Linked DNA regions of Arabidopsis thaliana. The protein of the gene in region 1 binds, or shares a complex with, the protein of each later gene. Each region holds a gene or a part of one and is shown in the gene's direction. Other genes may lie near its edges.

The links.
Region 2: the proteins of EDS1 (region 1) and ADR1 are in contact, whole or in part, in a cryo-EM structure (PDB 8ZW9), measured with the Arabidopsis thaliana proteins. Residues at the interface, in NP_190392.1 of Arabidopsis thaliana: Asn414 (codon at 3,785), Glu416 (codon at 3,791), Phe419 (codon at 3,800), Val423 (codon at 3,812); in NP_174620.2 of Arabidopsis thaliana: Phe780 (codon at 4,723), Thr781 (codon at 4,726), Val782 (codon at 4,729), Asp783 (codon at 4,732).

What each region holds. Positions count from the first base shown.
Region 1 is NC_003074.8:17,754,813-17,759,969, reverse strand, and holds EDS1 (alpha/beta-Hydrolases superfamily protein), read left to right. Parts: upstream 1-1,822; 5' UTR 1,823-2,277; coding exon 2,278-2,595; intron 2,596-2,671; coding exon 2,672-3,403; intron 3,404-3,499; coding exon 3,500-3,580; intron 3,581-3,676; coding exon 3,677-4,417; 3' UTR 4,418-4,641; downstream 4,642-5,157. Other genes in the region: RR5 (response regulator 5), read left to right, coding at 684-858; AT3G48080 (alpha/beta-Hydrolases superfamily protein), read left to right, coding at 4,825-5,142. UniProt on the Arabidopsis thaliana protein: Positive regulator of basal resistance and of effector-triggered immunity specifically mediated by TIR-NB-LRR (TNL) resistance proteins.
Region 2 is NC_003070.9:12,167,130-12,172,619, forward strand, and holds ADR1 (Disease resistance protein (CC-NBS-LRR class) family), read left to right. Parts: upstream 1-1,638; 5' UTR 1,639-1,962; coding exon 1,963-2,602; intron 2,603-2,671; coding exon 2,672-3,006; intron 3,007-3,093; coding exon 3,094-3,449; intron 3,450-3,521; coding exon 3,522-3,727; intron 3,728-3,922; coding exon 3,923-4,749; 3' UTR 4,750-4,990; downstream 4,991-5,490.

The sequences.
Region 1 (5,157 bases):
CAAAATTTACCAAATATAGTAGATTTTGTGCATTTATTACTTCAGGAGATGGGGATGATTAGATTTAGAGGGTATTGTTTGTTTAGGAAACTTTTTAAAGTAATCACACTAATTTAGGATTTGTGATAAAGTTACCGTTAAAGGATATGTATTGACTAAATTAAATTGTTGTATAATCACAAGATTTTGTTATGATAGAAAAGGTTATTATATGATTACTTTTTAACTATCATGGGGTTAACTTTGGTGGTGGTTGTATATTTGATCAAGCTGAGATTTGGTGTTTATTTTAGTGGGTCCTAAAATGATTTTTAAAATGGATCTTAGGAATAATAAAATTTATCTTGTGGCCATAAATTTAGAAAAGAATAATCCATCATAAGTTAAGCAAGATCTTCTCTTGAGATTTGATTCTATATAAGCCGGTGACATGTTAGGCCCTCCAAAACTTTATAATATATGTTTTAATTGTTTGGGTTGCATAATCTTAGGTAGGGTCATTTATAAAATCCCAATCCTCGTGATAGACACCTCACATGCCTTTGCTTATTACTAAGGAACCAAACCCTCTTTACCAGATTAAGTTTAATGATTATCATATATGAGCTGGCCATTTTCTGTATCCAAAGTTATAAACTTTATGGAATTAGATCACTAACATTTGGTTCCTTATATTTATTCAGATGTCTTGAAGAAGGAGCTGAAGATTTCTTATTGAAGCCTGTGAAATTAGCTGATGTGAAGAGATTAAGAGATTCTTTAATGAAAGCTGAGGAAAGAGCTTTTAAGAATATTATGCACAAGAGAGAGCTTGAAGCTAATGATATCTACTCGCAGCTAAAACGCGCAAAGATCTGAGTTTATCAGATTCCACGTACGATATGTTCTTTAAAAGCTCAAAGATTCACACACATGCATGTCCTGATTCTTTCGGCTTACAATTTTTGAGACATTACGGCTTCTTTTGCTGATAGAACCAAGACTGATCAAGAGTGACAAAGATGGGTTTTTATAAGATAGAAATGTAAATTGTAGACTTGGATTCATTAGAGAGGAGAAGAGATACATTTTTTTTTTCTTTACATGAGAGATATGTAAAATGGTGGTGTGTTATTTTGGAAGTTAACATATGAATTTCTTTTGTTAAGATTACTTAAATAATGATTTAGGAATGGATTAGTAGTTTAGTACCGTTCATTACACGAAGACAAGCTAATCTTTTGTCTAATTAAAATAAAGCTGTCTACATGAATCGAATCCAGCGAGATAAGTTAGTTATTTTAAGCGTTGGTTGGAACACTTTACATGGCTTTTCGTAGAAATTTCCCCAAGTTGGGTTTTATTAAGACCAAGAAAATTCTAGTCTCCTAGACTTTTTTTTGTTTCTTTTGTTAATTTAGTCTCCTAGGCTTTTTCATTCTATCTGAAAGCAAAATATGGTTATGCAATTTGGTTTAGCCAAAAAAACAAACTAAATTTTTCTAGTCCGGTTCATGTAACTTCATAATCAAACAAGTAAAAGTCGAATGTGACGCGTCTTGCCGAACGCAAAAACGGACCAGGCAAGAAGGTGTAGTTAGTTAATTCGGTTAATATTCAGCTGAGAGAAATCGAACCGGTTCCATATCTTGTAGATTATCCGGTTTACTTTCCGGATAAGATTTATAAGCAAAACAGAGTTAAAGTAGTAGATTTCTTCTATACGAGACCAAATCTGAAAACCCAAGTCAAGCTACAAAAACTTAACTCCAAGCGAACAAATCTCCTCATTCATTAAACAACAAAATTGTTTTCCGACAAAAAAGTGAATATCATTGAGTTACTGCGAAATCCCAACCGAGAGTGACATCTCAAACCAAAAGATGGAGTCTATATTAAAGAGACGAAGACTCCAAAGTCAAGCTACAAAATTTCCAAGCAAAGATTACACAGAGAAAACTTTCCGACCAAATGTGAATGTTTATGAAAGTTTCTGCGAAACTCCAGTCATGTCGGATGTACAAAGCCATACACCAATGTAAAACCGACACGTGGAAAGCTAAGATTCCTAGCTTTTCTTTCTTCATGAGTCTCCAATAGCCAAAGAGTCAACTCCAAAAAAAAAAACCCATTTTTGCATTGAAATGGTCTCATGATGGGGTATTTTGGGTAACTAATTAGTCCTGTCTACATCTTCCCATAAATTAACAGAGTAGGAGCGGATTAAAGAAGCAAGACGATTCAAAAGAAAAAAGAGAGAAGAAAGTCCACTAAAGAAAAGAGAATAGATATAGATCAATGGCGTTTGAAGCTCTTACCGGAATCAATGGTGATCTAATCACCAGATCATGGTCAGCCTCGAAGCAAGCTTACCTAACCGAGCGCTATCACAAGGAAGAAGCAGGAGCAGTCGTAATCTTCGCTTTCCAACCATCTTTCTCAGAGAAAGATTTCTTCGATCCGGACAATAAATCTTCCTTTGGAGAAATCAAGTTGAACCGTGTTCAGTTTCCTTGTATGAGGAAAATCGGTAAAGGTGATGTAGCTACTGTTAACGAAGCTTTCCTCAAGAATCTTGAAGCTATCATTGATCCAAGAACCTCATTTCAAGCTTCTGTAAGAAGATTGAAAACATCCGAATATATTTTTCTTTTTTTTTCTTTTTTGGTCTCTTATGCTTTTACTTCTTCAGGTGGAAATGGCTGTGAGGAGTAGAAAACAGATAGTGTTCACAGGACATTCCTCAGGAGGTGCAACTGCAATCTTAGCAACAGTTTGGTATTTGGAGAAATACTTCATACGCAATCCAAATGTTTACCTTGAGCCTCGTTGTGTGACATTTGGAGCTCCTTTGGTTGGTGACTCTATCTTCAGTCACGCACTTGGGAGAGAAAAATGGAGCCGGTTCTTTGTGAACTTTGTCTCAAGATTCGATATTGTCCCTCGGATTATGCTTGCTCGAAAGGCGTCTGTAGAGGAAACTTTGCCTCATGTTCTTGCCCAATTGGATCCCAGAAAGTCTTCCGTCCAAGAGAGTGAACAGAGAATAACAGAGTTTTACACAAGGGTGATGCGAGACACATCAACTGTTGCAAACCAAGCTGTTTGTGAATTGACTGGAAGCGCAGAGGCGTTTTTAGAGACCCTTTCTAGTTTCCTTGAGCTAAGTCCTTATAGACCCGCCGGTACTTTTGTTTTCTCTACAGAGAAGAGATTGGTTGCAGTGAACAACTCGGACGCCATTCTTCAAATGCTGTTTTACACTTCTCAAGCCAGCGATGAACAAGAATGGTCTCTAATTCCATTTCGAAGTATCAGAGATCATCATAGCTATGAGGAACTGGTACAGTCGATGGGAAAGAAGTTGTTTAATCATTTGGATGGAGAAAACTCAATAGAGTCTACGCTCAATGACCTTGGAGTGGTAAGTCTCTCTCTCTCTCTCTTTTCATACTGTGCAGCTCCATAGCTCCATTCTTGCAATCATTTAAACCCTTCAGAGTGTTTCCTTTTTCTGCAGAGCACAAGAGGCAGACAGTACGTTCAAGCTGCATTAGAGGAAGAGAAGAAACGAGTAGAGAATCAGAAGAAGATTATTCAGGTTTGTGGTTGATAAGCTTGTTCATGAATAATGCAGGTACGTGCTTCGTCTGTTTGTGTCTAACAACATAAAACTTGTTGGTTCTGTGGTTTTTAGGTGATCGAGCAAGAGAGGTTTTTAAAGAAACTAGCATGGATAGAAGATGAATACAAGCCAAAGTGTCAAGCCCATAAAAATGGGTATTATGATTCCTTCAAAGTTTCAAATGAAGAGAATGACTTCAAAGCAAACGTCAAGAGAGCTGAGTTAGCCGGTGTTTTTGACGAGGTGCTTGGTTTAATGAAGAAATGTCAACTTCCAGATGAGTTCGAAGGGGACATAGATTGGATCAAGTTAGCAACTCGATACCGCAGATTAGTTGAGCCTCTTGATATTGCAAACTACCATCGACATTTAAAGAACGAAGACACAGGGCCGTACATGAAAAGAGGAAGACCAACCCGCTACATATATGCTCAGAGAGGCTACGAACATTATATACTGAAGCCAAACGGAATGATTGCAGAAGATGTATTTTGGAACAAGGTAAATGGTCTTAACTTAGGGTTACAGCTAGAAGAAATTCAAGAGACTCTAAAGAATTCGGGATCCGAGTGCGGATCATGCTTTTGGGCTGAGGTTGAAGAACTCAAAGGAAAGCCATACGAGGAAGTTGAGGTAAGAGTTAAGACATTAGAAGGGATGCTTGGAGAATGGATCACAGACGGGGAGGTAGATGATAAGGAAATATTTCTGGAGGGTTCAACGTTTAGAAAGTGGTGGATTACGCTTCCCAAAAATCACAAATCGCATTCTCCTCTGCGAGACTATATGATGGATGAAATAACAGATACCTGAACCTTAGGTGGTGGAGTATTTAAGCTATTAGAACACTTGCTTCTCTTAATTTGTGCAATAAGAAATGTTTATCAATCTGGTTTCCACTTCATGATGATCTTAGAATAAGAAACATGTTGTATGATCATTGTGAAGTAATGTAATAGCTCTCTATTCTAATGTCAAATTTGGTTTCCACTTTACAGTGATCTTAGAATATATACGTTACTCTACTAAAGCCTAAAGCCATCTCAAATAGCATGAACCAGTAACAAACAACCTTCCTTAGATTGAAATGGTCTCATGATGGGGTATTTTGGGTAATTACTCCTGTCTACATCTTCCTACTATATTAACAGAGTAGGAGGACTAAGAATCAAGACGACTCAAAAGAAAAAAGAGAAGAAAGTCCACTCAAGAAAAGAGAAATGGCGTTTGAAGCTCTTACGGGAGTCAACGGTGATCTAGTCACCATATCATGGATGGCGTCGAAGGGAGCTAACCAAACGGAGCACTATCTCAAAGAAGAAGTAGGAGGAACCGTTTTTTTCGCCTTCCGAGCATCTTTCTCGTCGGAAGATTTGTTCGCTACGGAGAATACATCTCCCTTTGGAGAAATAAAGATGAAGCGTAATCAATTTCCTTGTATGAGAAGCATCGGCAACGACGTTGACACTACTGTTAACGAAGCTTTCCTCAAGTCACTTGAAGTTCTCATTGGTCCAAGAACCTCATTTCATGCTTCTGTAAGTAAACAAAAG
Region 2 (5,490 bases), on another chromosome or scaffold:
CAAATTAGGTTAACCATTTAAGGTTAGACCAAATTAAAACTAAGCATTTAATGCGTCAACCTTCAAATTTCGTTGAATACAAACCTCAACTTTCTTCGATGAAATATATACCCAACTTTTATTGACTTATCAATTTAATCGCTAACTTATGTTGACTTCACGAAATCGTTAAGTCGCGTACTACAAGAAAAAATAGACATTTTAACTCAAGATAAACGCTATTGTATGTGTTTAATAGCGTTTTCATAAACTTTGATGGATTAACGAGTTACTAGAATAATCTGAATATAAGAACCGAGTGCTTTTGGTTTTTTTTTTATTAGTTAGTTTTTTTTATGGTTTTTAATTGGTTTAGTCTATCCGAGTGGAATTGTTTTCTTTTTAATTAGGTTTTTGGTATGTCTTTATAAACACTATTTATGCAAACACTGGGAAAGTGTGCTTATTTCTAACCAACTCAGTTAAATGCGGAACTTGGAGGAAAAAATCCGAATTAGAACCAATCTGGCTGACATCATATCCATTGATGAGGTAAAGACAAGAAATAAAATTGATAAGACAAATTTGGGAACAATTAAGGGGAAGATGGATATCAATTTGAATCCTAATGACAAAGACATGATAGCTTTTACATGGACCCATGTTTCTGGATTGAGACATATTAATTTGGCAACAAATAATAAGGACAAAGACTTGAGATGATCAAAATGATAATGACAATATAATGATTGTCGCTAAGTAAAATTTAATTAAAAGGCTGTGACTGGTTAAACATATAGAATAAATGGAAAAATAGAATAATCACATCAGGAAGAAAAATAATTTTTATTTGCTTTGAAGATGGAAGAATTCATGTGATTTAGTTACTTTTTGATATTTTTCGAAGAAACAATTTTCTTCCAATTTCTTTTGTTGGACTAATACATGTAATTTTTTCCCTTTCTTTTTGTTTTCTTCTATTAAAGTCAACTAGTCACACGACTCACACCCTCAATGATATGACAAGTATGTGTCATGTGGATTAGTTAGTGTGGAAGCAAGTCTTTTAACATCCAATGTTTTCTCAATTCTTACCTAACACGGTAACACCTTTTTTTTTCCACAACACATGGTACTAACCGGTTGACTATTCCCTGGTACTGCGGTTGAGGCTGAGGCAATGGCTGTTGAACCATCATGCCTTCTCCAGCCACCGTATAGTACACATGCGGCTTCCCATCTGCGAATACGGTTCTTGTAACCCCATTGGAGCTGGACCAACACTAGTGTATATATACCATTAAGTAATTTGAAGAAATATATAAAATATTAATCAAAACGCGTAAAAAGAGTAAAGTGATCTTTGATGATTAGATCTACAAATCGACGTCAAAAGGAAAAAAAAAAAAAAAGCTACAAAATAAACATTGAAAAAGTTCGAGTCCCTAATCCCTATATAGTTTATACACATATCAACACCAAATAATCACAAGAAAAAAAAATTATAAACAAGGTTGCATATGGGATCGTTTTTCTTTCCCAATTAGTTAAATTAGATAGAGATAGCGACCAAAAAAAACAAGATTAGAGGTATTAATCCAAATAGGATTTAGCTAACTTTAAACAATTACACTCCCAAAGTGATTGAACCCGTATGGCCGTATTAGGGAATATCGTAATTTAGAGTTTGTCTAGATAATCGAATTCGAAAAAAAACTACTAAATCGATCTGTTTGATAATAAGTGAAAAACTGATACGTAACCATAAGATCCATACATTCTCTGAAATCTATTACAAAGCTATTACATGTGTTACCGCAGAAACAAAACTTTAAAACACTAAACGACAAAACGTATGTTATTGGAAGTTGCTAAGAAACTTCGTCTTCTTCGCTATTTTCTAATCTAAAAACGTATCAACCCTTATTACCACTCAACCATCTCACTTTCTTTTTTCTGTCTTACACTCCAAGATCGGTCTCGATGGCTTCGTTCATAGATCTTTTCGCCGGCGACATCACGACGCAACTCTTAAAGCTGCTCGCTCTAGTAGCTAACACAGTCTACAGTTGCAAAGGAATCGCCGAACGACTGATCACGATGATCAGAGACGTTCAACCAACGATCAGGGAGATCCAATACAGTGGCGCGGAGCTGAGTAACCATCACCAAACTCAACTGGGAGTATTCTATGAGATCTTGGAGAAAGCAAGAAAGCTATGTGAAAAGGTTTTAAGATGCAATAGGTGGAACCTTAAACATGTGTACCACGCGAATAAGATGAAGGATCTCGAGAAACAAATATCTCGTTTCCTCAACAGCCAGATTTTGCTCTTTGTTCTTGCTGAGGTATGTCATCTACGGGTCAATGGTGACAGGATTGAGAGGAATATGGATAGACTGTTGACTGAGCGGAATGATTCTTTGTCGTTTCCGGAGACTATGATGGAGATTGAGACGGTAAGCGATCCGGAGATTCAGACGGTATTGGAATTGGGGAAGAAAAAGGTGAAGGAGATGATGTTTAAGTTTACGGATACACATTTGTTTGGGATCTCTGGAATGAGCGGTTCAGGGAAAACCACTCTTGCAATAGAGCTTTCAAAGGACGATGATGTTCGAGGTTTGTGAAGTTTTATTGAATTTTGTTTTGTGTTGATGGTCATGAGTTCTAATCAAGATTTTTGTGCAGGACTCTTTAAGAATAAGGTTTTGTTTTTGACTGTGTCACGGTCTCCGAATTTTGAGAATTTGGAGTCTTGTATACGAGAATTTCTTTATGATGGAGTTCATCAACGGAAGCTAGTGATTCTTGATGATGTTTGGACAAGGGAGTCCTTGGACAGGCTGATGTCTAAAATTCGTGGAAGCACTACTTTAGTAGTGTCACGGTCCAAGCTTGCAGATCCTAGAACCACCTACAATGTGGAATTATTAAAGAAAGATGAAGCAATGTCTCTTTTGTGTCTCTGTGCTTTCGAACAAAAGTCCCCGCCTTCTCCATTCAACAAATATTTGGTGAAGCAGGTACTAATGCCTTTTTATAAATATTTGAATCTGTAACTAAAAACACACTTTGCTTCCAAATACTAAAATTGTTACTCTGTTTGGTAGGTTGTTGATGAGTGTAAAGGTTTACCTTTATCTTTGAAAGTTCTTGGTGCTTCGTTAAAAAACAAACCTGAAAGATATTGGGAAGGCGTAGTGAAGAGGTTATTAAGAGGAGAAGCTGCTGATGAAACTCATGAGAGCAGAGTGTTTGCTCATATGGAAGAAAGTCTAGAAAACCTCGACCCGAAAATCCGAGACTGTTTCTTGGATATGGGTGCTTTCCCTGAAGACAAGAAGATCCCTCTTGATCTTCTCACGAGCGTGTGGGTTGAGAGGCATGATATTGACGAGGAAACTGCGTTTTCCTTTGTTCTTCGTTTAGCTGACAAGAATCTCCTTACTATAGTGAACAATCCGAGGTATTCGCTCTTTTATGACTTTGTCTCTTGTACCAACACTTCAGTGGGATTAATCATATCATAAATTTGCAGGTTTGGCGATGTGCACATTGGCTACTATGATGTATTTGTGACGCAACACGATGTTTTGAGAGACCTAGCCCTTCATATGTCCAATCGTGTGGACGTAAATAGGAGAGAGCGGTTATTAATGCCAAAAACAGAGCCAGTGCTTCCAAGAGAATGGGAAAAGAATAAAGATGAGCCATTTGATGCCAAGATAGTTTCCCTTCATACAGGCAAGACTTCTTTAACTTTAAATGAATTTGGTTAGTGACTAGAGTCTTCAAGTTGATACGAGCCAAAGATTTAGTCTTTGAACTCGTAATCCTAGACTTTCTTAACGTGATAAATAAGAAAGCCACTAAAATAAAACCAAAACACCTAAAACTCTTATCACGTATCAGGTTTGATAGATTTTTTTGTGTCTTTAGGGGAAATGGATGAAATGAATTGGTTTGACATGGACCTCCCTAAGGCAGAAGTTTTAATACTGAACTTCTCTTCGGACAACTACGTCTTGCCACCATTTATTGGTAAGATGAGTAGACTCAGGGTGCTCGTGATTATCAACAATGGCATGTCTCCTGCGCGTCTACATGGCTTCTCCATCTTTGCCAATTTGGCCAAACTGAGGAGTCTCTGGCTCAAGAGGGTACATGTCCCTGAACTCACCAGCTGCACCATTCCACTGAAAAACCTGCACAAGATACATCTAATCTTTTGTAAGGTCAAGAACAGCTTTGTTCAGACGTCATTCGACATCTCGAAAATATTCCCAAGCTTGTCTGATCTCACTATTGATCACTGTGATGATCTTTTGGAACTAAAATCCATATTTGGAATAACCTCTCTCAACTCTCTCAGCATAACCAACTGTCCACGGATTCTTGAATTGCCCAAGAATTTGAGTAACGTACAGTCCCTTGAACGTCTAAGGTTATATGCCTGCCCCGAGCTGATATCCCTCCCGGTCGAAGTTTGTGAGCTGCCATGTCTAAAGTACGTTGACATTTCACAGTGTGTCAGCCTGGTTTCTCTTCCTGAAAAGTTTGGAAAGCTAGGGAGTCTTGAGAAAATTGACATGAGAGAATGCAGTTTATTGGGTTTACCAAGTTCTGTAGCTGCACTTGTGTCTCTACGCCATGTCATTTGCGATGAGGAGACTTCGTCTATGTGGGAAATGGTCAAGAAGGTGGTTCCTGAACTTTGCATTGAAGTCGCCAAAAAATGCTTCACCGTGGATTGGCTTGACGATTAGGCTTCTTGTTCCTTCAAACTCTTGATAACCCCTTGTATTAATCATTGATCAGCAGTAATTAGAGCGAGTTATTTGAAGTTTGGAATGTTTCTCTCTATATATAAGATCATTTTTAGCTATCCATCTTAACTTTAAGAAGAGTTGTTTTCTGTTTATGAAGTTAATGCACTGGTTTTTAATGGCGATATCTAGGAGCGGAGCCAATTAAGGAGGAGGGGATCATTTAACCCCATAACATTATAATTTTTTTAATTATAAGGTAAATTACCTAATAATTATTAATGTTTTGGTATAAACTTTCTAAGTTGACCCCATGTCATGCCCTAGTTTTCTACTTTTGATCCCATTCATATTTGTTTTTCTCTCAACATTAATTTCTTTTCCATGTTTATTTTGTGCTTTCCTAACAAATGATTACAAATCTCTAGTATTGATTACACATTAGGCTTTTCACATATTGATTGTTTTTTCTTCTCATTGGATATCATGTTTGTTTTTTGTCCTTCTTCTTCAAAATCGTTTTTACATATATTTCTATGTAAGTCAAGAATTGTTTTATAAATAAGCCTAATGTGTAATAAATAGAACTGAGAGAAACTATTCTACTTCTAAGGTTTTCTCCAAATTTATCAAAATTTCACTACAAGAATATGGAGCATTTGTAGTGTCCGAAAACCGCTATTTAATTATACTATAGCGTTATTAGAAGCGTTCTATCATCGTCCGTCATAATAGGTCAGA